Linked DNA regions of Macaca fascicularis. The protein of the gene in region 2 purifies or fractionates together with the protein of the main gene of each other region. This does not show direct contact. Links are inferred from orthologs where the notes say so. Each region holds a gene or a part of one and is shown on either strand. Other genes may lie near its edges.

Region 1 (4,061 bases), on a different chromosome or scaffold from region 2:
CCTCCCAAAGTGCTAGAGGATTGCAGGCCTGAGCCACCGCGCCTGGCCCTAACATTTCAAAACGTTGGGAATTCAGGCAGCAAGAGACATTTTGTAAGAACATTTGAAACCCTTCTCCCCTGGAAATCAAGAGATATGTATGGAGCCTGGAGATTCCGAACTCAATTTTCTAGGACAAAGGCAAACTAAGATGATTACAAGAATGAAAGTGATCGTCACGCTGCTTCTAGGTTCCAAAGTATGGATATATATATATATTTTTTAATGGAATCTTGCCCTGTTGCCCAGGCTGGAGCGCAGTGGCGTGATCTCAGTGCAACCTCCGCCTCTCGGGTTCAAGCGATTCTCAACTGCCTCAGCCTCCCGAGTAGCTGGAATTGATTATAGGCGCGCGCCACCACGCCCGGCTAAATTGTTTGTATTTTTAACAGAGACAGGGTTTCACCATGTTGGCCAGGCTAGTATCGAACTCCTGGCCTCAGGTGATCCGCCCACCTCGGCCTCCGAAGGTGCTGGGATTACAGGCGTGAGCCACAGCGCCAGGCCGAGAAATTTTTTTTAAAGAGGAATTAAAGAACCTAATTGGTATTGAGAGCTCTCCAAGAGCCAGTAAATGTTTTCCCTACAATATTCCATTCTACCCCATTACTGCAGCGTCGTTATAGAAAAAAACAAAATCACATAAAGCAACTTGGGCCAAAAAACATTACACGTTCCAATTACGGAAACAACGAACTGAACGACTCCTGAATCATGTCACCCTTGAACTATGTAAAAGTTGAAAAGATGTGTCAAATACAGTAACAGTTCCACATTAAAAGATATTTACGTCGAGGTACAACCCTAATTTACAGTATTTAAAAACGCCTTTCTACACCCTTTCCGGGGAAGCTAATGCCACTTCAGCTGAGCTATCTAGCGAGATGGTTAAGCATTTACTGTGTCTCTTAACACCGACCAGGGAAAAATCATCAATTCGTTTGCCCGAGTTTATGAGAATTTTCACCCAACTTCCAGTCTCCATAGCCAATCAGTTCTTGGAACCGCATACCCGATGCCGACATCCCTCTCTTGTTGGCTCCCCTCGTCAGCAGGCTTCGATAACTAAACGTCCATTTCTAGCACTGACGAAAGAGCTCAAGCTTGACACAGCCCTCAATCCTCAGCAGCACCGCCCACCATGCTCCCGGAAGTTGCGACACTACGCCCTGCGCCAGTCCCGGGACGCAAGGTTTCATATCCGGATTCTTAGCGCGGACTCAGAACCCCGCTCTTCCCTACGCGGTCAGCACATGCGCGGCAGCTCTTTTCCTTCTTCTTCCACTTCCACTACCTTCCACCGTCCGGGAGTCGCCGCCACCGCCGCCGAGGAGTCAGGAAGTTCAAGATGGCCGCCGCGGAGACCCAGTCGCTGCGGGAGCAGACAGAGTAAGTAGTCTCTGTGAGTGGGCCAGAGGCTGGAGCCCGGGGACTGCCGAGTGGGAGCTGCACGGGCGGGCGGGAAAGTTCGGGCCTAACGGCGAGAGTCAAACTTTGCCTTCTCCGGCGCGATTCGTTGTGGGGTGGGAGGCATGGGGAGCAGGCGGCCTTCGAGCTTCCTTCTCTCAGAGGCCGCGGCTGCTGGGGTGAAGGCGGCCGCGGCCTGCAGCGCGTCGTTGCCCCGGGAGGCGTAGGCGCGAGCGGCCTCTACAGGTCCGGTGCGCGTGGCGGCAGTGAGGTCGCGCTTTCCCATTCCTCCCTTGGGGACCCATCTAAGCTCCCTGGCCGCGGCTCTTAGCGGCATCGGTGTTGGGGACACGAGGGTCAGTGGCAGCAGGCGGGGCAAGCCCAAGTCTTTTCTTCCTCTTGCGGTACCCCCAGTCGTCCTTTTACTGGTGTCAGTTTAGGACCTGAAAGCAGAGCGCGGAGGTGGTGGGGTCACACTCTCTGGCCATCCCAGAGCTAGTCTGTGGCTAGCAGGATACTTGATCTCGTCACCTTGTATTCTTTAGTCCAGCAGTCACCCAGTATTGTTTTGTTTTGTTTTGTTTTTTTGAGTGCCTGCCGCCAGCTTTTTTTTTTTTACCAACTTGCAAACTTGAGGCAAAGTGAGATAGAGTCTTTGGTTTTGAGGCCTGGCATTTTTTTTTTTTGTTTTTTTTTGCTTGAGTTTATAACCCTTTAGGAGGACGAGGACGAGTGGAAGGAGTAGTTGGAATTGCTAGCTACTGCCAAACCACTTTATATCTATAATTAAGCTAATATAAGAATCCATGCGGCCAAATGAAAAATGAAAAAAAAAAAACATACGTGTGTATGCTGCAAGGTTAACCATTGGTTAACTAAAAGCAGTATTTTGCTCTTCATGTCTATGTTAGGAAAACTCAAACAAGAACCATAATAGAGAGAATGGATTTTACGGCAATGTTCCTATAGCGACCGTTTTTTTTGCATCTGCACTGTCTCATCTGTTTCCAGCCATTTTAGAAAGAGGTATAGTCTCCCAGCAAGTTGTGACTGAGCGATAGGAGAAATCTTTGCCACCAGACAACCTGACACTTAATTGCTGTACGTCCAGTTTTGGGCTCTTCAATCATCTGCATTACTCAGCTAGGCGGAAAAACGGAATTTTTAACTAAGGGCTTTTCAAAACTGCTGTATTATCTTTATAATTTGCCTTAGCAGAGAACAAATGGATTCTGAAGTTTTAAACTAGCTTTAACCTCTTACTGTTTCTCACCGAGTTCATTGTGTGGCACAGTTACAGTGTTTATGCCAATACAGTGCAGATCTCATGCTATGTGGTTACATTTTCTACTAATCTGAAAATTTCTGTAGTATTATGTCCATTTATTTGATTTTAGGGATGTTTGAGATTCATTTCGAGGAGTGGGTTAGTCATTTTATTCGCATACTGTTTTCAAATAATATTAGACTTAATAATTTAAAAAATACATATTCAGGCCTCTACTGTATGAATAACAGAGATAGTCTTTAATTTCCCTTCCCTTCCCCACAGAACACTTGGTGTAAATGGAATATTTGGTCTGTATATGTCTCACTTTCAGTAGTTTGAAAGTATTTAACAAAGACGATAACCATTTGGTATGAAAGCAAACACTGTGCCTGGTGCTCACAGTGAGTCCTTGAATATAGTGTCTACAGCAGTTCTTTAGAGAACACTTGAATAGTTTACAGTTATATGGAATCTATTCAAAATAGAAAATTTAGAAAGAATAAATATAAAAAGTAGCTTTTAAGCTTCCTGAAGGCTTTAATTCTTTTAACAACCCTATAGAGGTAGATGCTTTTATTTTCCTGTTTTAAAGATGATGAAACTGAAACACAGAGAAATTGAGTAACTTGCTCAAGGTCACCCTAAGTGGCACACCCATTTAAACTCAGGCAGTCTGGTTCTAAAGCCCTGCTGCTAACTATTGAACTGTCTGGCCTCCCACTGTACAATGTGGCTTCTTTTTAAATTGCTTTTCAAGTATGAAATTATTTTTATTTTTTCCACTGTCCCAGAAAGATCCATTTTTTGATGTGATGTGTCTAATTTATTGAGACCTAATTTCTCAAACCTGATTTGGCAAAGCAGGGACCAGAGGGAAGGTTTTAAGACTAGTTAGTCTTTTGGACCCATTCTGATTTTTATATCTACATTAATTCTTTTTATTCATTTTATTTATTTTTGAAACATGAGCTCTTGTCACCCAGGCTGGAGTACAGTGACACTATCATGGCTCACTGTAGCCTCAACCTCAAGTGATCCTCCTACCCCAGCCTCCGGAGTAGCTGGGACCACAGGTATGCAACACCACGCTCAACTAATTTTTTTTTTTTTTTTTTTTGAGACAGAGTCTCACTTTGTCTCCAGGCTAGATTGCAATGGTATGATATTGGCTCACTGAAACCTTGGACTCTGGTTCAAGCAATTCTCCTGCCGCAGCCTCCCGAGTAGCTGGGATTACAGGCATGTACCAACACGCCCTGCTAATTTTTGTATTTTTAGCAGAGACAGGGTTTCACCTTGTTGGCCAGGATGGTCTCAATCTCCTGACTGCGTGATCCACCCGCCT
Region 2 (3,500 bases):
TTTATTTTTGAGACAGAGTCTTGCTCTGTGGCCAGACTGGAGTGCAGTAGTGTAGTATTAGCTCACTGCAACCTCCGCCTCCCGGTTCAAGTGATTCTCCTGCCTCAGCCTCCTGAATAGCTGGGATTACAGGTGCCCGCCACCATGCCCGGCTAATTTTTTTTTTTTTTTGGGATGACAGAGTCTGTCACTCAGGCTGGAGTGCAGTGGCGCTGTTTCGGCTCACTGCAAGCTCCGCCTCCCGGGTTCACACCATTCTCCTGCCTCAGCCTGCCGAGTAGCTGGGACTATAGGCACCCGCCACCTCGCCTGGCTAGTTTTTTGTATTTTTTAGTAGAGACGGGGTTTCACCGTGTTAGCCAGGACGGTCTCAATCTCCTGACCTTGTGATCTACCTGCCCCGGCCTCCCAAAGTGCTGGGATTACAGGCGTGAGCCACTGCGCCCGGCCTAATTTTTGTATTTTTAGTAGAGACAGGGTTTTACCAGGTTGGCCAGGCTGGTCTCGAACTCCTGACCTCAAGTGATCTGCCCGCCTCAGCCTCCCAAAGTGCTGGGATTACAGGCGTGAGCCACCGCGCCTGGTCCTGTTACTTTTAAACAAACATTTAAAAATTTTTCTTAGTTTTAGTTTTCAATATCGTAATACTGACAGGCATAATCTGCAAGTCAGATGTTTTCTGGGCCCTCCTGCTTGTTAAGAGCGATGGGGTCTGAGTCCAGCTGCTCCGCATCCCCAGGCTCCCGCCCCCTGCCCTGCCCCCTAGGGGCTGGGAGGCTCACCTCGGTCTGGGGATGTGTTGGCCCGCTTGGCTGGAGGAGGGCTCTGCCTGTCCTTGTCTGATGGTTCATAGCGCTTCCTGCTTCCTTTATCAGCCGCCTGGGACAACCGAGAGGCTGGTGAGGATGGCAGGGCCAGGAGACAGCAGCTGTGTCCTCACCCCAGACAACATTTCCTTGCCAGCAAACTGCTCTGCTCCCAAAGGTCCCACCACATGCCCATCAGACCCTGTAGCCCCAAGTGAGGCCTCCATGACCCGGACCAAGGGCACCCCCACTGTGCACTTGGGGCCCCTTCATGTTCCATGGGAAGCACCCTGAAGGCCTTCCTGCTCCCCATGGGGGCCACTCTAGGAGGACTTGGGACTCCTGAAACCAGGCCTCTTAACCTTCCAGCAGAGGACAGCGATGTGTCCTGCTGAGGGCAGAGGACAGGGACTGAGGCTTGCTTCCTGTATTATGTTGAGACTGGCTGGCAGGGAATGGCGGCCACAGGCACAGAGAGAACACGCTCTCTGTCCAGAGCGAGGCCGGCAGCACCCGAACCTCCCCAGATGCTCACACTTCCTGGCCCAGGCCGGGAAGATGGAGTCTCGCTCTGTCACCCAGGCTCTGCCGACACCTGCAAGGCTCCACTGGCCCTCACTCAGGTTCTGTCCCCCAGGAGGAAGCTGTCTCAGGAAGCAAATGGACCCAGGCCCAGACGCTGGGGGAGCCACCAGCAGGGCCCTTGCCCTCACCTTATTCAACAGTGTCAACTTGATCTCCTTGTGGGCCACAAACGTGCCCTGCTGGGGCTGCCCGGGGGGTGCCTGCTGGGGGGTCGAGGGCTGCTGGGAGGACTTCCCCCCTGCTGGAGGTTTTGAAGATTTAGGTGGTTGCGTGGACGAATCCCTTTTCCGCTTTTCCTCTTTAACACCGTCTTCTTTCTTAGATTTTCCTACCAACGATAAATCTGCAGTCATGGGGGTACTGGTGATTTTCCCGGGGCCACACCGACAGCCAGGCAAAGTCTGTGCTGATGCCACCCTCCTGCCCTGGAGCTACTCCTTAAAGGTACCAGGGCCCCCGAATACCTTTCTCCTTCCTGGTCTGGGCTGGGGCTGGGGACCGAGAGCTGGCTGAGGACACGGGGCTAGCCAGGTCTGCGTACATGTCTTCCGAGTCCACGCTGTGTGCAGAGCTGCTGCTCGACGTAGCACTGGACACTGAGGAGACACTGCTCACGCTCAGGGACCTGGACACATGAGAACATCTCACCACAGTCCAACCACAGACTGGAGGGAGGGGCCGGCGGGGGGTGCTCCATGGTCCACGTTTACCCAGTGTCCATTTATGGATCATGTACCCATGGAATGTGTGATTTTGGGGGGACACTGGGCAGTTCCAGGGTTACACAGTAACGGACGTCTCTATGGCTGGGCCAGGGCCCCATTTCACTAACGAATGTCAGGTTGCGGCTGGGCGCGGTGGCTCGCGCCTGTTATCCCAGCACTCTGGGAGACTGAGACGGGCAGATCACCCGAGGTCAGGAGTTCGGGACCAGCCTGGCCAACATGGTGAAACCCTGTCTCTACTAAAAATGCAGAAATTAGCCGGGCATGGTCGCGGGCACCAGTAATCCCAGCTACTGGAGAGGCTGAGGCAAAATAATTGCTTGAACCCGGGAGGTGGAGGTTGCAGTGAGCCAAGACTGTGCCACTGCACTCTAGCCTGGGCAACAAGAGCGAAACTCCGTCTCAAAACAAACACAAATGAAACGAATGTCAGGTTGCTTGTTGTGAAGGGAAACAGGACTGAGCTGAGCCAAGAGTGGCAAGGATGGAATTTAAGCAGAGTCCCTGGCTTAGACACCCGCAACAAAAGGGTGACAGCCTCAGCCCACAGGGAAATTAAAACACAACGAGCTGTTCCGCACAGTCTCAGGGAATGCCTGAGGAACACGCAGCAGACAGACTGGAAACAGCAGGTCTGCAGCTCCACTGGCTTGCACTCAACACGGACACAGAGCACAGGACTGGCATCTGAGTCCGCCCTGCCCATGTGCTACTCGGGAAAACACCAATCACATCCCCCAGGCACGTTGGGTACCGCAGCAGGGAACGGGGGAAGGTAAGAGAACCATTTTTTTTTCAAAAGTCAGGTCTTTTAAAACATTTCAGACCTATCAAGAAACATTTTAGGCCAGGTGCGGTGGCTCACGCCTATAATCCCAGGAGTTTGGGAGACCACGGTGGGAGGATCACTTGAGCCCAGGGGTTTTGAGACCAGCCTGGGCAACAGAGCAAGACCATGTCTCTCCAGAAACAAAACAAACAACAGAAAAAAAAAGTTTGATGGCCGGGCGCGGTGGCTCAAGCCTGTAATCCCAGCACTTTGGGAGGCCAAGACGGGCGGATCACGAGATCAGGAGATCGAGACCATCCTGGCTAACATGGTGAAACCCCGTCTCTACTAAAAAATACAAAAAACTAGCCGGGCGAGGTGGTGGGCACCTGTAGTCCCAGCTACTCGGGAGGCTGAGGCAGGAGAATGGCGTGAACCCGGGAGGCGGAGCTTGCAGTGAGCTGAGATCTGGCCACTGCACTCCAGCCTGGGTGACGGAGCGAGACTCTGTCTCAAAAAAAAAAAAAAAAAAAGTTTGACAAACATATAAACCACCTGCTGCCTGGAAATGAAAGAGTTCTATGTGAGGAATCTAAGGACTGATTTAATACTTTC
Region 3 (3,500 bases), on a different chromosome or scaffold from region 2:
TGCCTTACCTCAAATGCTAAATAGATGGTACGCTCACATCTATACACAGATATTTGTGTAATGTTTTTTAGTTCTAATAAACAATAAAAGACCGTCACTGATTTCAAATACTGCAAATATGAAACCACATGTAATTTTAATTCTTAGTTTTATGTGACTGTCTTAATTCTATCATCCATTCCTTGAAAAAAGAAAAATCACACAGGTTTCCTTATTCATAGTCTCTATTATATTAATACCAAAAAACCCCCCAAAAAACAAAAAAACCCAGCAAACCCTTAACACTTAAGCTTTTATCTTAAGATGTCTGACAATGTCTAAATTTAATGCCATCATTTTGGCTTATGCTTTCTAAACTCATTTTCTCTAATATCATAACACAAGTTTCTTAGAGATATCCAAACAAAATCCCAGTAATAAATATCCAAAGGTCACTAATATCTTATTTTGATGAAGTAGTTTTTCTATGTACATATCCATTTATTGATTCAGGCAACTGTATAAATTATTTTGTCAATTTTCCCACTCTTGCCCAGAAAAACCCCTAGGATTCTGGTTGGAATTACATGGTATATAACTGAGTAAATGTTAAGCATTATTATTCTAATAGCTTGACTTGGAGAAAATGTCGAACTTTATAATACACCAAGTCTTTCTATTCAGGAAGCTATGGTGAAAGCAGGGGTTAAAAATCCTTGAATGGTAACATATTTCACTTTGTATTTACGATGAAGTTTATATTCTTAAGGAAGGTATTATCACAGAAATGTTAGGATCTCTTTTTATATAAGGGGAAAACACCTGGGATGCTAAGAACAACTAACAGTCTGAACAGGTCAAACAGATACAGATATACTGCTTTAAGCGCATCATGTTGCCAGAGTTATGTTTATGCTTTAACTTGGCCTATACATAGTTCCACTCAAGAAATACTGAATTCCACTTACCGTCATCATCATCCTGGTTGGGATTTGGTACATCTTTCAGAATGCTGAAGATTTCATCATTGGTTGCCTTACTTTTAAAGGCAACTGCTAAACAGAGGGCAACAGAATGTCCAGGAAGAGAATCTAAACACAGAATTGGGGGTAAGGGGAATGACAGATCAGGTTTCAAGACTATTCTAACGAATAGTTAAATAACTGAGAAAAAATTTTTTAAATTCTTCCTTTCAAAATAGGATGCTCTTTATCCCAAGGTCAATATTTAATCTGTATAAAAGTACCACATGTGGAAGCTTTTTCTAATAGGTTAATGGTTTTTCACCTAAAAAGGGACAATTCTCATTTCAACAATTCCTTAAGGACACTTAGCTAAGTAAAATTTAGAGTACAAGGTGCTGATCATCCTCAAGATGAATGGTAAGGAGAAGAGTGGACACAGTTAAACTGTCTTTTAATGCCCTCAACTCTCCCGGGCTCAAAAGCCCAGAACCAACGTACTTCTCTTTCATTTTGCCAACACCCATTTCCTCTTTCTTTCCTTGGGACCATGGAAACGAAGTCTCAGCCTCAACAAGGTAATGGCTGCCAAGTTTAGAGAGGTTTTTGTTTTTGTACTTTTCTTTTTTTGCTGAATCCACAAGTTTGAATCTATGTAAGTCAGATGCTCATGTGATAGGACTCCTTGTATTTACTATTGGTATCAGTTAAGTCCTTATTATAAAAATTTGTGCTAATATACACCGTAAGGCATCACCAGAGCAACAAGAAATCTGCTTTTAATGTAAGGTAGACAAAGAGGTAACAAAAAAGGCAATCCTGTCATAGAGTACGAGTTACTGGAATGAATGAAGTAAATTACAACAGTCACGTGAGGATGGTCATATTACACCTGCTGTGAGCTTTTTCTCTAAAAGAAAGAAGGCGAAGAAAAACAGAATCCCCTGTCACCAGTCTACATTCCAGCTGGAGAACCAAGATATTCACATTAGACACAGCCAGGGAGCAATACAAAACTGGCTTACTAAAGGTTAAAAAGTATTTACAGCTATTGAGCTTGGGCTAGAATCTAGAAGGAGAAAAGCAAGTGGAGCTAGAAAGGACTTTCCAGACTGGGGTAATAGCAAAGCCAAGAACAAACAGTATGGAAAAAATAAAAAAGGACATGGACCTGGGAGAAGTAGAGGCCCATGTCGGGAGAAGTGAAAAATAACAAAGTAGGAACAATGGTTATGAAGGCCTTGAAATGTTAGGCTGAGTTATTCCTATGGGGAAAAAGAAAGCTTAATCTTCAACAAAAGTCTGAGCTTTCTGACAGCAAAGACTGTACTTTATCATTCTCGGAACGAGTACAAGACAAAACTCAAAACCTGGCACTTCTAAGTGCTGCATGAACCTTTGATCTGCCAAAAAGCACAGTGGCTAAGAGCATGGCCACTCAGCAGTGCACCTACGCCTGAATTTGGGCTCCACCACTCAGAAGCAATCTCATTCTAGTTTGACCTCTTGGAAGCCATTTCCTCATTGTAGTTTTGATAATCATATCTATTTTTCAGAGTTGACATAATTAAATAGGAAATGTACCAGGACCAACACAGTTTATTTCAAAGGAAACAGGTACAATCACAGACAGAGGTGGAGAAACAGGCATATGGTATGAAAAGCAAGGAACAGCAGATAGTTGTGAGATGCAAAGAACCTCTACACAACATGAAATGGAAGGATCATGGAGGGGCTGTGTTAAGTGTAATCTGCAAAGGATAAGTTGGAAAAAACTCCACACCTAACTCCACCAGTGATCAACAATGTATAATACTCTACCTACATTAAGTGTAAATACTGTGCAAAGGGCAAAATGGCACATCAAATTACACTCCCTGATTTATGGTGCAATTTCAGAGATTATGTGACCAAAAGGTAAGAAAATAATAATTAAGAATTTACTTTTAAAGGCATACTGCCACAGAATATGTACATCTATGTTCTCAATACCACACCTGAAAAAGATAATTAATTCAAGTAATCTCCATCACCATGACAAATACGCATTTGCAGTTTAGTAAGATCTAACTATAAATTCATCTTGCTATACTTAACACATTCAAAAGAGAAAGAAAAGATAAGCCAGTAGTAATTAATTTTATCACAACCAAATCCTCAAAATGATGACAGGGCAAATAAAACAGTGGCTAATGCTAGACTACCCTTCGAATACAGGAAATATAAACCCCAAGAAAAGAAAAAGTTCAATTTCTCCACTTTAAACAACTAATTTAAATATATTTGAACTGGTACCTTTTAAAGACAGAGGGATTTGTTTCATTACTTACTGCTACTTTCATCTCCATACTTGTAAATGCAGGTTGGGTTTGCAGGACATAGAGCTGAGAAGGTAGGAGGAACAATATCTAATATACGCTGATGGTAAGACAACCTACAATACAAATAACAGCCTCAGAAAATATCTTTTATCAGTCCCATTCTTTGGTAACACCCAACTTACCTAGAAAGTCACAATCTCCAACAACTTGAACTCAGCTGACAACCAAGAGTGAAAGG
Region 4 (3,952 bases), on a different chromosome or scaffold from region 2:
TCCCTGCACACGCCATCTTCTCAGCAGTGCATCCTTTCAACCAAGGTTAAACTCTGGACCTTGACCCATGTATGACAAAGGGCCCTTTTATACTCTGTAGTGAGAAATAAGTGGATTTCCAGAGAGTCCCCTTTTAATAACCCCATAGAGACTGTTTAAAGCAACAACTCTGATGCTTTACATGCTCATGTATTTTTTCTGAATTGAGGAAAAAAATGTAGTGATCACTAAAAACAAAACAGAGCTCACTTTCCTAATGGGCTTCCAAACTGGGATGACACGATGAAGCCAGAGATAAGAATATAACTGGGCTTCATCCAACACACCTGACAAATCCCTGGATCCAAAATGGCTCATCAGGGTCGCGCACAGCGGCTCACGCCTGTAATCCCAGCACTTTGGGAGGCCGAGGCGAGCGGATCACGAGGTCAGGAGATCGAGACCATCCTGGCTAACACGGTGAAACCCCGTCTCTACTAAAAAACAAAAACAAAAACAAAAATATTAGCCGGGCGTGGTGGCGGGGCCTGTAGTCCCAGCTCGCCAGGAGAATGGCGTGAACCCGGGAGGCGGAGCTTGCAGTGAGCCGAGATCGTGCTACTGCACTCCAGCCTGGGTGACAGAGCCAGACCCCGTCTCAAAAAAAGTGCAAATCATGCCTGGCACTTAAGCATCTAAAACCTGGACTGGCCGGGGTCAGTGGTTCACGTCTGTAATCCCAGCACTTTGGGAAGCCCAGGCTGGTGGATCGCTTGAGTCCCAGAGTTTGAGACCGGCCTGAGCAACTCAGGGAGACCCTGTCTCTACAAAAAATTAGCCGGATGTAGTGTGAGAGCCTGTGGTCCCAGCTTCTCAGGAGGCTGAGGTGGGGAGGATCACTTGGGCTCAGGAGGTTGAGGCTGCATGAGCCGTGATTGCGCCACTGCACTTCAGCCTAGGCAATAGAGCGAGATTCTGTCTCAAAAAATAAAATAAATTGACCGAATTTTTTTTTTTTTTTTAAAGTAGGAATCTCGCTCTGTTGCCCAGGCTGGAGTGCGGTGGCGCGATCTTGGCTCACCGCAACCTCCACCTTCCGGGATCAAGCAATTCTCCTGCCTCAGCCTTCCGAGTAGCTGGGACTACAGGCGCCGCCACCACGCCCGGCTAATTTTTGTATTTTTAGTAGGGATGGGGTTTCACCATCTCGGCCAGTCTGGTCTCGATCTCCTAACCTCGTGATCCACCCGCCTCAGCCTCCCAAAGTGCTGGGATTACAGGCATGAGTCACCGTGCCCGGCCTCGACTGAATAAATTTCAGAGCTTCCCTAATTTGGCGTCAAAGTTTCCTTTTCCCTACTCTAGTAACATATTTCACACGTTCTCCACACTGACCTCTGCTATATGCGCCCCCTCATTTCCCAGTCACAAGGGGATTTCTCCCCTTTTTCTGAATTCTCACAGCCTCTCTTTTAACTCACTTCTACCTTAGATTCTTTGATAATCCACACTACAGGGGATTATGAGCTCGCAGAGTGCAGAAACTGTCTTCCCTTCCCCCCAGGGTTTAGCACAAGGCTTTGGTGACAGCACTCAACAAATGTTTACTAAATAACCGGGTTAATGAGTCCCGCGCCGCCACCCCTCAACCGTATTCCATCCCTACCTTTGCTGATACTGAAAAGCCTACTTTGTATATCTGCGGCCTCCCCTTTTTCCACAAAACATACTGTGATATAGTCCGGACTAAAAATTTCTCTCTTCTGAAATCCAGCAATTCTCCGATCTTCACATCCAAACACCCTCAAAGTGCCCAGCTTGGCGGGTCCCCCTCCCCACTCCGAAGCCTCCCCGAGGGCGGAGTGAGGACTTCACTTGTGTCTCCCACGCACCGCGTACAGCTTCCCTAACACCATCCTCCCAGAGAAGGGCACTGCTTCGCCGATTTAAAAAAGAACGTAGGCCGGGCGCGGTGGCTCACACCTGTAATCCCAGCACTTTGGGAGGCCGAGATGGGCGGATCACGAGGTCAGGAGATGGAGACCATCCTGGCTAACACGGTGAAACCCCGTCTCTACTAAGAAATACAGAAAAACTAGCCGGGCGAGGTGGTGGGCGCCTGTAGTCCCAGCTACTCGGGAGGCTGAGGCCGGAGAATGGCGTAAACCCGGGAGGCGGAGCTTGCAGTGAGCTGAGATCCGGCCACTGCACTCCAGCCTGGGCTACAGAGCGAGACTCCGTCTCAAAAAAAAAAAAATAAAATAAAAAAATAAAAAAAATAAAAAAGAACGTAAAAAGCCCCGAATCTGCATCAAGAAGGCGCCTCTGCACACTCTGGGAGAGAGAAGGGCACCCCGCCCTTGTTACGCAGCCATCTGCGAGGTACAACCTGGAAACGGGAGCCGCCACTACCATCAGCGCTCAGGCCTCTCGGCACCGGCTCGGGTGCAGGGAGCGGCTGGAGGGAACAGGAAAGCGAGCCTCAAATGCCCTGTCTTCCAGAGCCAGCGGCTTCAGTGATGTCCAAGCGCCCCCCCAGCACCCGCTCCCTGCCTCCCCAGCCGGCACCGGGGCCCCACTTGGCGTTTGGGGATTGCAGCAGAACGGGAGGCGACACAATGAGACAAGAGCAAACCGTTTCTCAGCGTTCTGGCCCAGGGCCTTCCCCTCTCGCGGCCCGGCCTCCCTCACCCGGAAGTGCTGGTCCCGGTACTGGCTCAGCTCCACGTAGGAGTCGCTGCGCAGCGCCTTCAGGAGGCCACCCGACATAGCGCAGAGAAGCGGACGAGGACGCGGCGATTCCCGGCACGAGGTGGCGTCTGCCGTGGCGGAAGCGGAAACGCGCGGAAGCGCGCATCTCATTGGACCCAATCCGAGGGCGGCAGTGTCGTCATCAAGCTGCGCGGGCGCAGATGACGTCCGGGTCGGGCGCCGCCGGGCGGAAGACTAGGGCGGCGAGGTCGGATTCCCGGGCGCTTGGGGAAGATGGTGCTTCGGCGGCTGCTGGCGGCCCTGCTGCACAGCCCGCAGCTGGTGGAACGTCTGTCCGAGTCTCGGCCTATCCGACGTGCGGCGCAGCTCACGGCCTTCGCTCTGCTGCAGGCCCAGCTGCGGGGCCAGGACGCGGCCCGCCGCCTGCAGGACCTCGCGGCTGGCCCCGCAGGCTCCCTGTGCCGCCGCGCTGGGCGATTCAGAGACACCTTCACCCAGGAGCTACGCCGCGGCCTCCGTGGCCGTTCGGGGCCACCACCAGGTAGCCAGAGGGGCCCTGGCGCAAACATTTAAGCCTGGGCTGTGCGGGGCCGAGGCCTTTACTTTGCCTTCCGGGCTCTACACTGGCCTCGACGTGGAGGGGTCGTTCCGGGCACTGCGCGCGGCTTCGAACCCCGACTCGGATTGTTGGCCTGCAGACATCCCACGCAGAAGAGCCTAGGCCAGACCGCAGGCTCCGCTGAAGTCCTGTGATTGGACAAGACACCGTGTGGAGAAAGACCCCGAAGCCTAACAGAGATGAAGATAGGCTGGGTCCAGACACCGCACCCGCGGAGAGCCACGGACCGAAGCCAGAGAGCCTTTCCTCTGCAGATGGAACTGACACTCTTGACAGATGCTGCTGAATCTGCACTGGTGTAGCAGGACACTTAATTCCAGGGACGATGTGAATGAAAAGACAACCCTACAACTGCCAAATTCCTTTGATTAAAAAAATGTATGAGCTGGTTAATAGGCATGAGTGTGATACTTCTCAGGCAAGATATATTGAGAATACCAGGGACTGTAGGCCTATGGCAATAATAAACATGTATTTTATGAAATGAGTATTTTGTGCTGGGACTTGCTCATTGCACTCTGCGTGTTATTTCGCTTCCTTACAACCACATCCGCATGAGCAAGCAGATTACTTTTTGGATTTTTTTGTAGAGATGGGGTAGTCTCGAACTCTTGGGTCCGAGTGATCGTCCTGCCTCAGCCT
Region 5 (3,500 bases), on a different chromosome or scaffold from region 2:
GGTGACTACAGTTAACAATACCTGAAATTTGTTAAGAGTATAGATCTTATGTGTTATCCCCACATACACAAGACAACTCTCCAAGGTAAGGTGATATGTAAGTTAATTTACCTTGTTTGTGATAATCATATCGTAATATACATATATAACAAATTATGACATAGTACATGCAAGATATATGTATAGTCTATTATAGCTCAACAAAGCTGGAAAAAATAGATCCTGAATGATATAAATACCAATATTGTCAAATTGCCATTTATCCATTAATTGCTTATATTAGCCACCTGCTGAAGCCCGAAACAAAATTAATTATCCCAGTCCCTTCTACTTGGTTGTTCCCTAACTAGTAATTGGATACTCTTTCAAGTCAAAATAACATGTTAAGTGGTTTTTCCAACAGACCACCCTTAAATAGCCAATACTTATTTGGTTCAACTCTCCCATGAGATTAGGTTAGAAATGCAATTCAAACTAAATTTGCCTTTGTGTAAAGACCAGTATTGCACACCGGAATTAAATCTGTGACTTTTCTCCCAAACTAGAGAAGCCTATAAGCTACTGCTTCTCAAACAGAGGCTTAATTTGAAGAAAGCAATTAAGCAGTTAGGATGTTAGATAATTTCTCAGTATCAAGTCAGCCTTGTAATTAATTATTTCAGGCTTAAATATGATCTTTTCATCTAATCAAGTAAACAATTTAGGTTTGGAAACATTACTATTACTTTTACTACTTAACAGAAAGCAGTTTAATAATAACTGGCATTTAAAAAAAAAATTGGGCCGGGTGCAGTGGTTTACACCTGTAATCCCAGCACTTTGGGAGGCCAAAGCAGGTGGATCACAAGGTCAAGATTTCGAAACCAGCCTGGCCAACATGGTGAAATGCCGTCTCTACTAAAAATACAAAAACTTGCCAGGTGTGGTGGTGTAATCTCAGCTACTTAGGAGGCTGAGGCAGAAGAACTGCTTGAACCTGGGAGGCAGAGGATGCAGTAAGCCAAGATCGGGCCACTGCACTCCAGCCTGGGTGGCAGAGCAAGACTCTGCCTTAGGGGGGGAAAAAAAAAAAAGAAAAAAAAAAAAAATTGGCGGGTCGGGCGCAGTGGCTCACGCCTGTAATCCCAGCACTTTGGCAGGCCAACGTTGGCGGATCACGGAGCCAGGAGTTCGAGACCAGCCTGGCCAACATGGTGAAACCCCGTCTCTACGAAAAATACAAAAATTAGCTGGGAGTGGTGGTGCACGCCTGTAATCTCAGCCACTGGGGAGGCTGAGGCAGGAGAATAGCTTGAACCCAGGAGGCAGAAGTTGCAGTGAGCCGAGATCATGCCACTGCACTCCAGCCTGGGTGACAGAGCTAGACTTCATCTCAAAATAATGATAATAATAATAATAATGATAAAAATTTGTCAAGTTGCATCAAGTAATATACATACTTTCAAATCCTGTTCTTCTTCTACTTTTGGTGTTGTTTGTACTTTTATTTTCTCTGGAGATTCTTCTACTTCCACCTCTTTATCTGAATTCTCATCTGTTTTTTCTGAATTTTCAGCACCAATTGCTGTAAAAGAAAACATGTAAAATTAAACCAAAGTACCAATACTTATAGAGCACTATATACATCTTTCCCCATAGCAGATATCTGCAAATGATTATTAGTTCTTTCTCTCTTGCCTGTTTTACTTACTTGTTAAAACTCTTCAAACTTGTCAGCCTACTGTCTTTATAACCCAAAAACAATTCAGGGCCGGGCGTAGTGGCTCACGCCTGTAATCCCACCACTTTGGCATTTGGAGGTGGGCAGATTACAAGGTCAGGAGATCGAGACCATCCTGGCTAACACAGTTGAACCCTGTCTGTACTAAAAATACAAAAAATTAGCCGGACGTGGTGGCACGCGCCTATAGAATTGCTTGAACCTGAGAGGCGGAGGTTGCAGTGAGCCGAGATTGTGCCACTGCACTCCAGCCTGGGAGACAGAATAAGACTCCATCTCAAAAAATAAATAAATAAAATAAAAATCCTTTATAATCAACTTTCTTAAAATACATCTGTAAGTAAAATTTACTTTAGTCTATCAAATTACCCTGAAGTTTCTGCTTTCCCCTTCTCCTTAACACCTTTTCTAATTTCTCTTCCAGAATACCACTGCTTCAATTACTTACAATAGCTAGACAGCAAACCTGGGATATGTAAGAATTCTTTAACAAGTTGCAGGGTAAGGTGCTCAAAAGAGCAACATTATTAGCATTATAATTTCTTTTGGAGACAGACAGGGTCTCATTCTGTCGCCCAGGCTGGAGTGCAGTGGCATGATCTCAGCTCACTGCAGACTTGACCTCCTAGGCTCAACGGATCCTCCCACCTCAGCCTCCCAAGCAGCTGGGACTACAGGCAGGTGCCACCATGTCCAGCCAGTTTTTGTATTTTTAGTAGAGACGGGGTTTCACCATGTTGCCCAGGCTGGTCCCGAACTCTTGGTCTTATGCAATCCGCCTGCCTCAGCCTCCCAATGTGCTGGGATTATAGGCGTGAACCACTGTATCCAGGCTGCATCATTATTTTTAGTATTTTTTTGAGATGGAGTTTTGCTCTTGTTGCCCAGGCTGGAGTACAGTGGCATGATCTCAGCTCACTGCAACCTCTACCTCCAGGTTCAAGTGATTCTCCAGACTCAGCCTCCCAAGTAACTGGGATTACAAGCATGCACCACCAAGCCTGGCTAATTTTGTATTTTTAGTAGAGATAGGGTTTCACCATGTTAATCAGGCTAGTCTCGAACTCCTGACCAGTGACCGGCCCAGGTAGGTCTCTCAAAGTAGTGGCATTACAGGCATTAGCCACCACGCCCGGCCTGCATCATTTTCAAACCATCTGGTAATTTCCTTCCTAAACTGGTGAAGATCTACAGACATCTATATTGAACCCACCTATTTAGTTGGTGCTGATGTCTATTGGTAATGGGAATCTCCAAAAGAGAAGAGGTCTACCAACTTAAACAGAGCACACAATATGAACTCTTTTATCTTTGCTTCGTAACACCTATATACCCAAACTAATTCACACAGTCTAAATGACTGCCAGATAGGCCAGGCGCGGTGGCTCACGCCTGTAATCCCAACACTTTGGGAGGCTGAGGTGGGCGGATCACAAGGTCAGGAGATCAAGACCATCCTGGTTAACACGGTGAAACCCCATCTCTACCAAAAACACAAAAAATTAGCTGGGCATGGTGGTGGGCGCCTGTAGCCCAAGCGACTTGGGAGGCTGAAGCAGGAGAATGGCATGAGCCCAGGAGGCAGAGGTTGCAGTGAGCCGAGATCGTGTCACTGTACTCCATCCTGGTGACAGAGCAAGACTCTGTCTCAAAAAATAAAAATAAATAAATAAATGAAATAAATGACTGCCAGTTTAAAAAGCCAAAAATGACCAGGCACGGTGCCTCACACCTGTAATCCCAGCACTTTAGGAGGCCAAGGCAGGTGGATCACCTGAGG
Region 6 (3,500 bases), on a different chromosome or scaffold from region 2:
CCCTGACAGCTGAGGCCACAGGTTCATTTTCTCCACCCCTCCCAGAACACAGCCCCGCACTTGTAGCTCCTTTGGATCCCGAGGCAGCACTAGAGGCCCGGCGCTCGGACCTGCTTGCCGTCTTCCTTCTTCTCGTCCTTGTCGTTTGTTTTACGCTCCCCGTCCCCAAGGCCTGCTCCAGCCCGTCCTTCCTCTTTCTTGCCAGGCTCCCCAGGCTTTCCTGCCTGTTCCTCCTCCTCCTCCTGCTCCAGGATGCGGAGATCATTCTCTGTGCCTCCTTCCATCTTAATCACAGCTACCAACAAAGGGAACAGAGTTCACAACCCGAGGGCCCTGGCTCCTGTCAACCCGTATCTGCCTGGTCCCCAAATACACCCACCCCAAATGCCTGCCAGCCCTCCAAATCCACACACCTGCATCCAGCATCTTGACGATGGCATCAGCTTTGTCTATGTCCAGGAGAAGATTATCAAACCAGCCAGTCTCCATGAGGGACAGGAAGACCCTCAGACGGTTTTGCAGGCCCCCCCGGGCCTCCTGCCGACGCTTCCCCACCTCATCTGGGTGGTACTTAGACCGAAACCTGGGAACGAAGCGGGGGAGGGAAAGACAAAACAATTACTGGAAGCCAAAGCCAGGATGTGGGAAGGGGCCCAGGAAAGACAGGGCATAGCCCCCATCCTCTCACACCCACAAAAGGTCATCAAAACAGAGAGATTAGGGGATAGGGTTGCACTAGAACCACCCAACACCCCAAAGGGAACCAGAAGTTGTGCTCTGAGAAGATCTGGGGGAAAACCAGGAACTAAGAGCTCTGGATTTGGGAAGACCAATGACTACAGGGGGACGCCAGGGTTGGAGAGGCAGATTTACCACTTTAAGTCTCCGGGAAACACTAACTAGTCAAAAGGTGTCATTTCCCAAAGCTTCAGAGAGGAAGGCTCAGGAAATAGCAGGCCCTGAAGAACCTCCCTCTCCTCACCAACCCCAAACTGCAGTCATTCAAAAACTGCTCCCGCCAACTCCCTCCACCCCAAGGTGGAAGACAGAGGGGGCCAGATAGCAAAAGCCCAGAGGCAGGGCACCTTTCTCCACCCGTGGGAAGATAAGCAAGACGGTGAAGGGACAGGAAAGACCGAAGGGAGAGACTGGAGTGCCCTTTAGAGCCTCAGGTCCTGCCCACAGGGGAGAGACAGGAGAGGGCTGGAAGGTTAGGGAGGAAAAGAAAAATAAAACATTTCAAATAGGACCTCAGGGGGAAAACAGAAGAAATGAGGAGTATGAGGAAAAGGGGAAAGGGAGGAAAGGGGAAAGTGTGAGAAAGTCCCAGAAACCAAAACAAAGGGAAAAACTAAAGAGAGAGAAACTGAAAAAACCAACAGGGCGGAAGGCAGTGTTAGGCAGGGAGCAAGAACAGGGACAGAGAAGAATGAAAGTGCGTGAGAGATTAGGACAAAGACACAGAGCAATTTGAGAGGGGACAGCGAAGACAGAACAGAACCACGAGTGGGGCGGAGGAGGAAAGGAAAGCCGCAGGCATCACCTCCAGGATCTTTACCTTGGCCGCTTGGTCAAACAGAGCTCAAGATTTAACTAGCGGCGCCCAGGGCCCATGCTGGCTGGTGGGCCACCGGCTGGCTCCTGGCTGGGCGCCCGGCCGAGATGCCCTGCCCCGCGGGACTCCGCAGTGGGGCCTGACTGGCTAGCTGCCTGAGCAATCACATTCAGCTAAACCGCTGCATTGTGCACAGCAGTGCCCTGCCTGTCTGCCTGGCCGGGCCGCGCAGCTCAGCCCAGGGGCTCATGTATGGGCTGGGTATGGTGGGGGTGGAGGTGGGTTTGCTCCGAGCTCCGTCGATGAGCGGGTGTAGTTCCCAGTTCTGGCTCTTTTCAAGGAGGAGGAGCAGAAAGAGGATGAGGAGGAGGAGGAGCAGGAAGGGGGGAAAAGATGGTTGATTAAAATTAAAACATCCACAAAAGGAAAAAAAAATTAAAATTCTTTTTCTGTCAAATGACCCTGAGATCTTTGCTTTTCCTGTCTGGATTCACTCGTCGCTTTAGGAGGATGCCACAGTCACACGGGGTCCTGGTGATCAGGGATGACAATGACCCAACACCAGCAAATGGGAAGCGGCCTGTTTGCTGCCCCAAGGGGCCAGGTGGCTCTGGCCTGCTGCCTGGAGGTGTCCCACTCTCTGAGGACAGCAGGACAGGAGATAGGGCAGGGCGGGGGCCGTGGCAGTCGCTGAAGTGAGGGGGAGACCCCATCAGCCAATGCTGTCATACTTCCCGACCCCCACCCCCAGAAAGTTCCGGACAGGGGAAACTGGGAAGAGGACAGGGCCGCGGCTCCACCAGCGGGGCCAGGGGGACATGCCAGGGCAGAGATCCAGGGAAGCAGGGGCACTCACCACTCCTCATCTTTGTGCGCCAGGAAGAAATCCTGCATCTGCTGCCTCCGGAAATCCAGCTTATAGTCATTATAGCGCTTGACGGCCTCCGTCTCATCCACCGAGTCATCCAGGGAGAGGAGAAACTCCTTGAAGGTCTTCATCACAGGCGGCGGCACACCCAGGTCGATCTCTGCGATGCTGCCCAGCCTGGAGGGGACCCCAGTCAGAAAGGCTTGGTTGTTGGGGAAGGGTTGGAGGCTACAGGGGCCAAAGTAGCCAGGTGCCCCCCTTCTTTGCCCACCATGGACATCACCCCAAACCCCAACAGCTACTACCCCCATCCCAGGGACATGTCTCTGTGGGCCTGACCCACTCCCTGGCTTCAACCATGGCCTTCAGCAACCCCATCCATCCCCCAGGCCTACCAACCCCCTTCTCCCGAAAAGCCCGGCCCTTACCTGGCCTGGATAGGCAGGACATGGTGCTGCATGATGTGGACGTCGGGGTGGCCCCAGGGCTGAGGGGGGCCATAAGTTGGGCCCCCACCCCCCCCAGCATAGGGCATCTCATAGCCACTGTGGTATGGGTCAGAGCTGTGCTCATCCCTGAGGGTGGGGGACACAAAAGTAAGGCAGAGAAGGGAGTCACCTCCCCAGAGCATGAAGGAGGACAGACAGACAGGGGTACACACAGCATGGTCTCCCACACAAGGGTTTCAAGGGACAAAGAAACAATGGGTGATGGGAAGTTGAGAAAAGGAAATGACAAAGATTTAGGCACAGGTGAGGGGAGAAAGGGGAGGCCCAAGTGGAACTGAGGCGAAGGGGAGAAGAGGGAAACCGCTCCATCTCACCAGTCTCGCCTCATGCGCTTCTGTGGCGGGCTGAGTTCATGGCGAGGTGGCGAGAAGCGCTCTCGCCGATTCCGGTCATAGTCCCGATATTCACCCCGACTACGGCGCTCACGGCCACGGTCCCACTCTCTGGAGGTAAGAACAAGTAACAAAGATTAAAGGTCAGGCATGGTGGCTCATGCCTGTAATCCAAGCACTTTGAGAGGCCGAGGCAGAAGATCACTTGAGGCCAGTTCAAGACCAACCTGGGCAAT
Region 7 (3,500 bases), on a different chromosome or scaffold from region 2:
GGATGTACACTCTCCACTGTGGAGACCACTGCTGTAGATGATGGGGACCTGTGGAAACTGTGAGCAGGGGAATACACTGATCGGGTAAGCATACTGCAAAGACACTCTAGCAGCACCATGGAAGGGCATGCTGAAAGGCAGGTGGGGAGAAAAGCTGGAGAGAACACAAAGCCAAGAGACCAGTAAGGAGCCTCCGTAACAGCAGAGGCAAGCAATGACAGTGCCCACTGTAGGGCCAAGGCAAGCAGGACCCCTACTTATGAGGTATGACTAGCAAAACGAGATGATTTACTGGATGTGAGAGAAAAAAGGGGGACATACTGATGATCAAGTTTCTCACTGACGCAACAAGAAATGGTGGTAACAAGCGCAGGAAATACAGCATGTGTAGCAGGTTGGCAGGGTGAGTTGTATTCTGGTTTTTAACATGTAAGGTTTGAAGTTTCCTGTGACAGAGATGGAGCTGTCATGTAAACAACAGGGTAAGTTTTATGACTTGCCTGGGCCTCGATGGTGACCACGTGGTAACAAGCAGCAATTGTGCTCCTTTACATGGATTGTGATGACCAAGGCAACTTACATTCAATGGGAAATTTTTCAATATATTATTGTATGTTATTTATCTACCTTTGCCATTGACCTGTTGTATTTAACTCAGTGCTACTAACAACCCTAGAGGTAGCCATTTCTTTCCTTTGATAGAGGAATAAGCCAAGGCTCAGACAGGATAAGAAACCAAAGTTCCACAGTTATTAAGTTCTGAGCTGGGGATTAATCTGATGATACGTGGGTGCCTCTCGGTGTCTGCGGGGAACTGGTTCCAGGACATCCTGAGGACACCGAAATCCACAGATGCTCAAGTCGCTGATATAAAATGGTATAGTGCTTGCATGCAACCTACATACATCTTCCTATATACTTTAGTTGATCTCTAGTTATTTATAATACCTGCTACAATGTAAATGGTATGTAAATAGTTGTTATACTGTATTGTTTAGGGAATAATGACAAGGGGGAAAAGTCTGTACATGTTCAATAAAGACACAGGTTTTTTTTTTTCCCCTCCAACTGTTTTCCATCTGAGGCTGGCTGAGCACATGGATGTGAAATCCACAGATGTAAAACCCATGGATACGGAGGGTTGGCTGTAACTGAAGCCACTGCAGCCTAAGCTAATACTTGCAAACTAAGTACAAATAAAAAAGGTACTTTGGTCTGGTCATGGTGGCTCACACCTGTAATCCCAGCACTTTGGGAGGCTGGGGAGGGCGGATCACCTGAGGTCAGGCATTGGAGACCAGCCTAGCCAACATGGTGAAGCTCCGTCTCTACTAAAAATATAAAAATTAGCCAGGCATGGTGACAGGCGCCTGTAATCCCAGCTATTCGGGAGACTGAGGCAGGAGAATTGCTTGAGTCCAGGAGGCAAAGGTTGCAGTGAGCTGAGATTGCACCACTGCACTCCAGCCTGGGCAACTAGACTGAGACTGTCTCAAAATAAATAAATAAATAAATAAATAAATAAATAAATAAAATAGAAATAATTAAAAAGATACTTTGTAAATTACTTTCTATATGAAACTTCGGCCGGGCGCGGTGGCTCACGAGGTCAGGAGTTTGAGATCAGCCTGACCAACATGGTGAAAACCCGTCTCTGCTGAAAATACAATAATTAGCCAGGCGTGGTGGCACATGCTTGTAATCCCAGCTACTCAGGAGGCTGGGGCGGCAGAATCGCTTGAATCCGGGAGGCAGAGGTTGCAGTGAGCTGAGATCACGCCACTGCACTCAAACCTGGGCAACAGAGCAAGACTCAATCTCAAAAAGAAAAAAGAAACCTCAAGAGAAAAATTGAACTGCAACAGCAACAATAAATCTGGATAAGGTACATCTCGCTACTGCCCTTTCCCAGACATGAACCTACATTCTATGTAAGCACCTTCAAACACTCCCTATACAGGGGAACAGGAGCTGACCACGTCCAGCCAAGTAAAGAAAGCAAATCCTTAGGAGGATTCATCATAGCCAGCGTGTAACAAAGCCAGCTCACTTAGCGTGCAATTCCAGACTCTGGAACCAAAGGGGCTGTATAATGTCTTGGGTGGTTTGCACGGCTGGCTCATCAATTACTCACTGTGTGTTAAACAGTCTTGTCAGCAGAGGGAGCAGAGGAGGTTTCAGAGCTTTTCCACCATGAGTCAGAATGGAAACCAACTGTGTTACCCAGTTTCACTTACTAGAGTCACTCAGCATTGACTCCCAAAATAAAGGTTTGAATAAGTCAAGCCTTCTTAGGTAGACAAGAACACAAGAGCCAACCTATAATCTGTCATCACATCTAAATCCATGCCAATTCCTTGAAAATTACAATCCTGGGCCCGTTATCAATAGTAGGGTCCTATAATCAGGAACAAATATCAAAAGACAATATGACACTTCTTTCTCAATAGAGTCAAAGAGGAGGTATACTTTTCTTGAATAGAAACAAAACAAAACAAAAAAAACTATAATAATATCAGATAGAAGAAGATACAAATGATAAACTAAACTACACATTCTAGAAAGATGTAGTTTTACATCTTTTTACAAAAACCTTTTTACAAAAACCTTCCAGTTTTTGCAAATGATGCTGCTGACTATAAATATATTAAAAATGAGAACTGATCAGAAATAAGATTTGGTATGCAGAGAGCAAGAGATAGTCTAGTGGCATAGAACATGTATTTAAATCACATTACTTCTTCATGAGTATAAAAGTAATAAAAATGATTAGCACACACAAACAGGGCTTGGCCACTTCCAGCCAGTTCCTTCATAGCATTTGTTAACGGCACGTCCCTGGAGTCAGTAATGGCAGACAGTTGATGGGAAGAACACTTACCTTTTGGCAAATCCCCAGTACTGGAGGCTGAAACCGTCCTGCTTCTGTCATGGGATGGACTGCTCTCCTCTTGCTCAGTAAGTGGTGATCCCTCAGAAAGCACAGAGCCGCAGGCCACAGGTTCTAAGGATCCAGAGAACAACGAGGTGGAAAACTCTGGGAACTGTGACTCGGGAATTTTATGTCGTCCATTTGGCAATTCACCATTGAATTGTTCATAGGAGCTGCTATATGTGTAATCACTTTCTGCATTTGGCTCATCAAGATTATATTCCTCAGGATTTGGGCAGTCTTCTTCGTCATCCTCTTCATCGTCCAGTTGCTGCTCCAGTGAGAATGGGCCATTCTCAATATGGCCATTGGTTTTAGGTGATTCTATCCACGTAGGGTCTATGTTCGCAAGTTCCTGATCTACATCATCTTCATCTTTTTCAATGTTTTCTTTCTCAGCATCTTCTTTCTCTTCCTGGTCCTCAGCTTCACCTTAAGAAGTTGATGGGTCAAGAATAAGAACTTGTTACTGTCCTTAATACGGCCTCACTAAGTACTTATCTCCATCAATAAAACACGTTTTGAATGTGTTTAACTTATGTACCACCTAGTAAACACCTCTTTGCTT

What was found.
Region 1: the proteins of ZC3H18 (region 2) and PRP4K purify together in Homo sapiens (co-immunoprecipitation; 4 studies listed by BioGRID and IntAct, counting the BioPlex papers as one, with this or other methods). This does not show direct contact. The link is inferred for Macaca fascicularis from reciprocal best matches to the Homo sapiens genes ZC3H18 and PRP4K.
Region 3: the proteins of ZC3H18 (region 2) and NCBP1 purify together in Homo sapiens (co-immunoprecipitation; 3 studies listed by BioGRID and IntAct, with this or other methods). This does not show direct contact. The link is inferred for Macaca fascicularis from reciprocal best matches to the Homo sapiens genes ZC3H18 and NCBP1.
Region 4: the proteins of ZC3H18 (region 2) and NCBP2 purify together in Homo sapiens (co-immunoprecipitation; 3 studies listed by BioGRID and IntAct, with this or other methods). This does not show direct contact. The link is inferred for Macaca fascicularis from reciprocal best matches to the Homo sapiens genes ZC3H18 and NCBP2.
Region 5: the proteins of ZC3H18 (region 2) and FNBP4 purify together in Homo sapiens (affinity purification with mass spectrometry; 3 studies listed by BioGRID and IntAct, counting the BioPlex papers as one, with this or other methods). This does not show direct contact. The link is inferred for Macaca fascicularis from reciprocal best matches to the Homo sapiens genes ZC3H18 and FNBP4.
Region 6: the proteins of ZC3H18 (region 2) and SRRT purify together in Homo sapiens (co-immunoprecipitation; 4 studies listed by BioGRID and IntAct, counting the BioPlex papers as one, with this or other methods). This does not show direct contact. The link is inferred for Macaca fascicularis from reciprocal best matches to the Homo sapiens genes ZC3H18 and SRRT.
Region 7: the proteins of ZC3H18 (region 2) and SRPK2 purify together in Homo sapiens (affinity purification with mass spectrometry; 3 studies listed by BioGRID and IntAct, with this or other methods). This does not show direct contact. The link is inferred for Macaca fascicularis from reciprocal best matches to the Homo sapiens genes ZC3H18 and SRPK2.

Annotation. Positions count from the first base shown.
Region 1 is NC_088378.1:169,033,147-169,037,207, reverse strand, and holds the start of PRP4K (serine/threonine-protein kinase PRP4 homolog), read left to right. Parts: upstream 1-1,261; 5' UTR 1,262-1,387; coding exon 1,388-1,428; intron 1,429-4,061. UniProt on the Homo sapiens protein: Serine/threonine kinase involved in spliceosomal assembly as well as mitosis and signaling regulation. Connects chromatin mediated regulation of transcription and pre-mRNA splicing.
Region 2 is NC_088394.1:84,533,347-84,536,846, reverse strand, and holds part of ZC3H18 (zinc finger CCCH domain-containing protein 18), read right to left. Parts: intron 2,017-3,500; coding exon 1,856-2,016; intron 1,735-1,855; coding exon 1,520-1,734; intron 880-1,519; coding exon 783-879; intron 1-782.
Region 3 is NC_088389.1:60,465,070-60,468,569, forward strand, and holds part of NCBP1 (nuclear cap-binding protein subunit 1), read right to left. Parts: intron 3,376-3,500; coding exon 3,272-3,375; intron 1,071-3,271; coding exon 948-1,070; intron 1-947. UniProt on the Homo sapiens protein: Component of the cap-binding complex (CBC), which binds cotranscriptionally to the 5'-cap of pre-mRNAs and is involved in various processes such as pre-mRNA splicing, translation regulation, nonsense-mediated mRNA decay, RNA-mediated gene silencing (RNAi) by microRNAs (miRNAs) and mRNA export.
Region 4 is NC_088376.1:2,357,048-2,360,999, forward strand, and holds the start of NCBP2 (nuclear cap-binding protein subunit 2), read right to left. Parts: upstream 2,801-3,952; 5' UTR 2,749-2,800; coding exon 2,671-2,748; exon of another isoform or gene 2,615-2,670; intron 2,440-2,614; exon of another isoform or gene 2,369-2,439; intron 2,117-2,368; exon of another isoform or gene 1,963-2,116; intron 1,822-1,962; exon of another isoform or gene 1,646-1,821; intron 477-1,645; exon of another isoform or gene 327-476; intron 1-326. Other genes in the region: protein NCBP2AS2, read left to right, coding at 2,965-3,264. UniProt on the Homo sapiens protein: Component of the cap-binding complex (CBC), which binds co-transcriptionally to the 5' cap of pre-mRNAs and is involved in various processes such as pre-mRNA splicing, translation regulation, nonsense-mediated mRNA decay, RNA-mediated gene silencing (RNAi) by microRNAs (miRNAs) and mRNA export.
Region 5 is NC_088388.1:18,096,636-18,100,135, reverse strand, and holds part of FNBP4 (formin-binding protein 4), read right to left. Parts: intron 1,565-3,500; coding exon 1,440-1,564; intron 1-1,439.
Region 6 is NC_088377.1:49,475,604-49,479,103, reverse strand, and holds part of SRRT (serrate RNA effector molecule homolog), read right to left. Parts: intron 3,376-3,500; coding exon 3,247-3,375; intron 2,999-3,246; coding exon 2,852-2,998; intron 2,601-2,851; coding exon 2,412-2,600; intron 584-2,411; coding exon 414-583; intron 296-413; coding exon 111-295; intron 1-110. UniProt on the Homo sapiens protein: Acts as a mediator between the cap-binding complex (CBC) and the primary microRNAs (miRNAs) processing machinery during cell proliferation.
Region 7 is NC_088377.1:146,652,102-146,655,601, forward strand, and holds part of SRPK2 (SRSF protein kinase 2), read right to left. Parts: intron 3,365-3,500; coding exon 2,882-3,364; intron 1-2,881. UniProt on the Homo sapiens protein: Serine/arginine-rich protein-specific kinase which specifically phosphorylates its substrates at serine residues located in regions rich in arginine/serine dipeptides, known as RS domains and is involved in the phosphorylation of SR splicing factors and the regulation of splicing.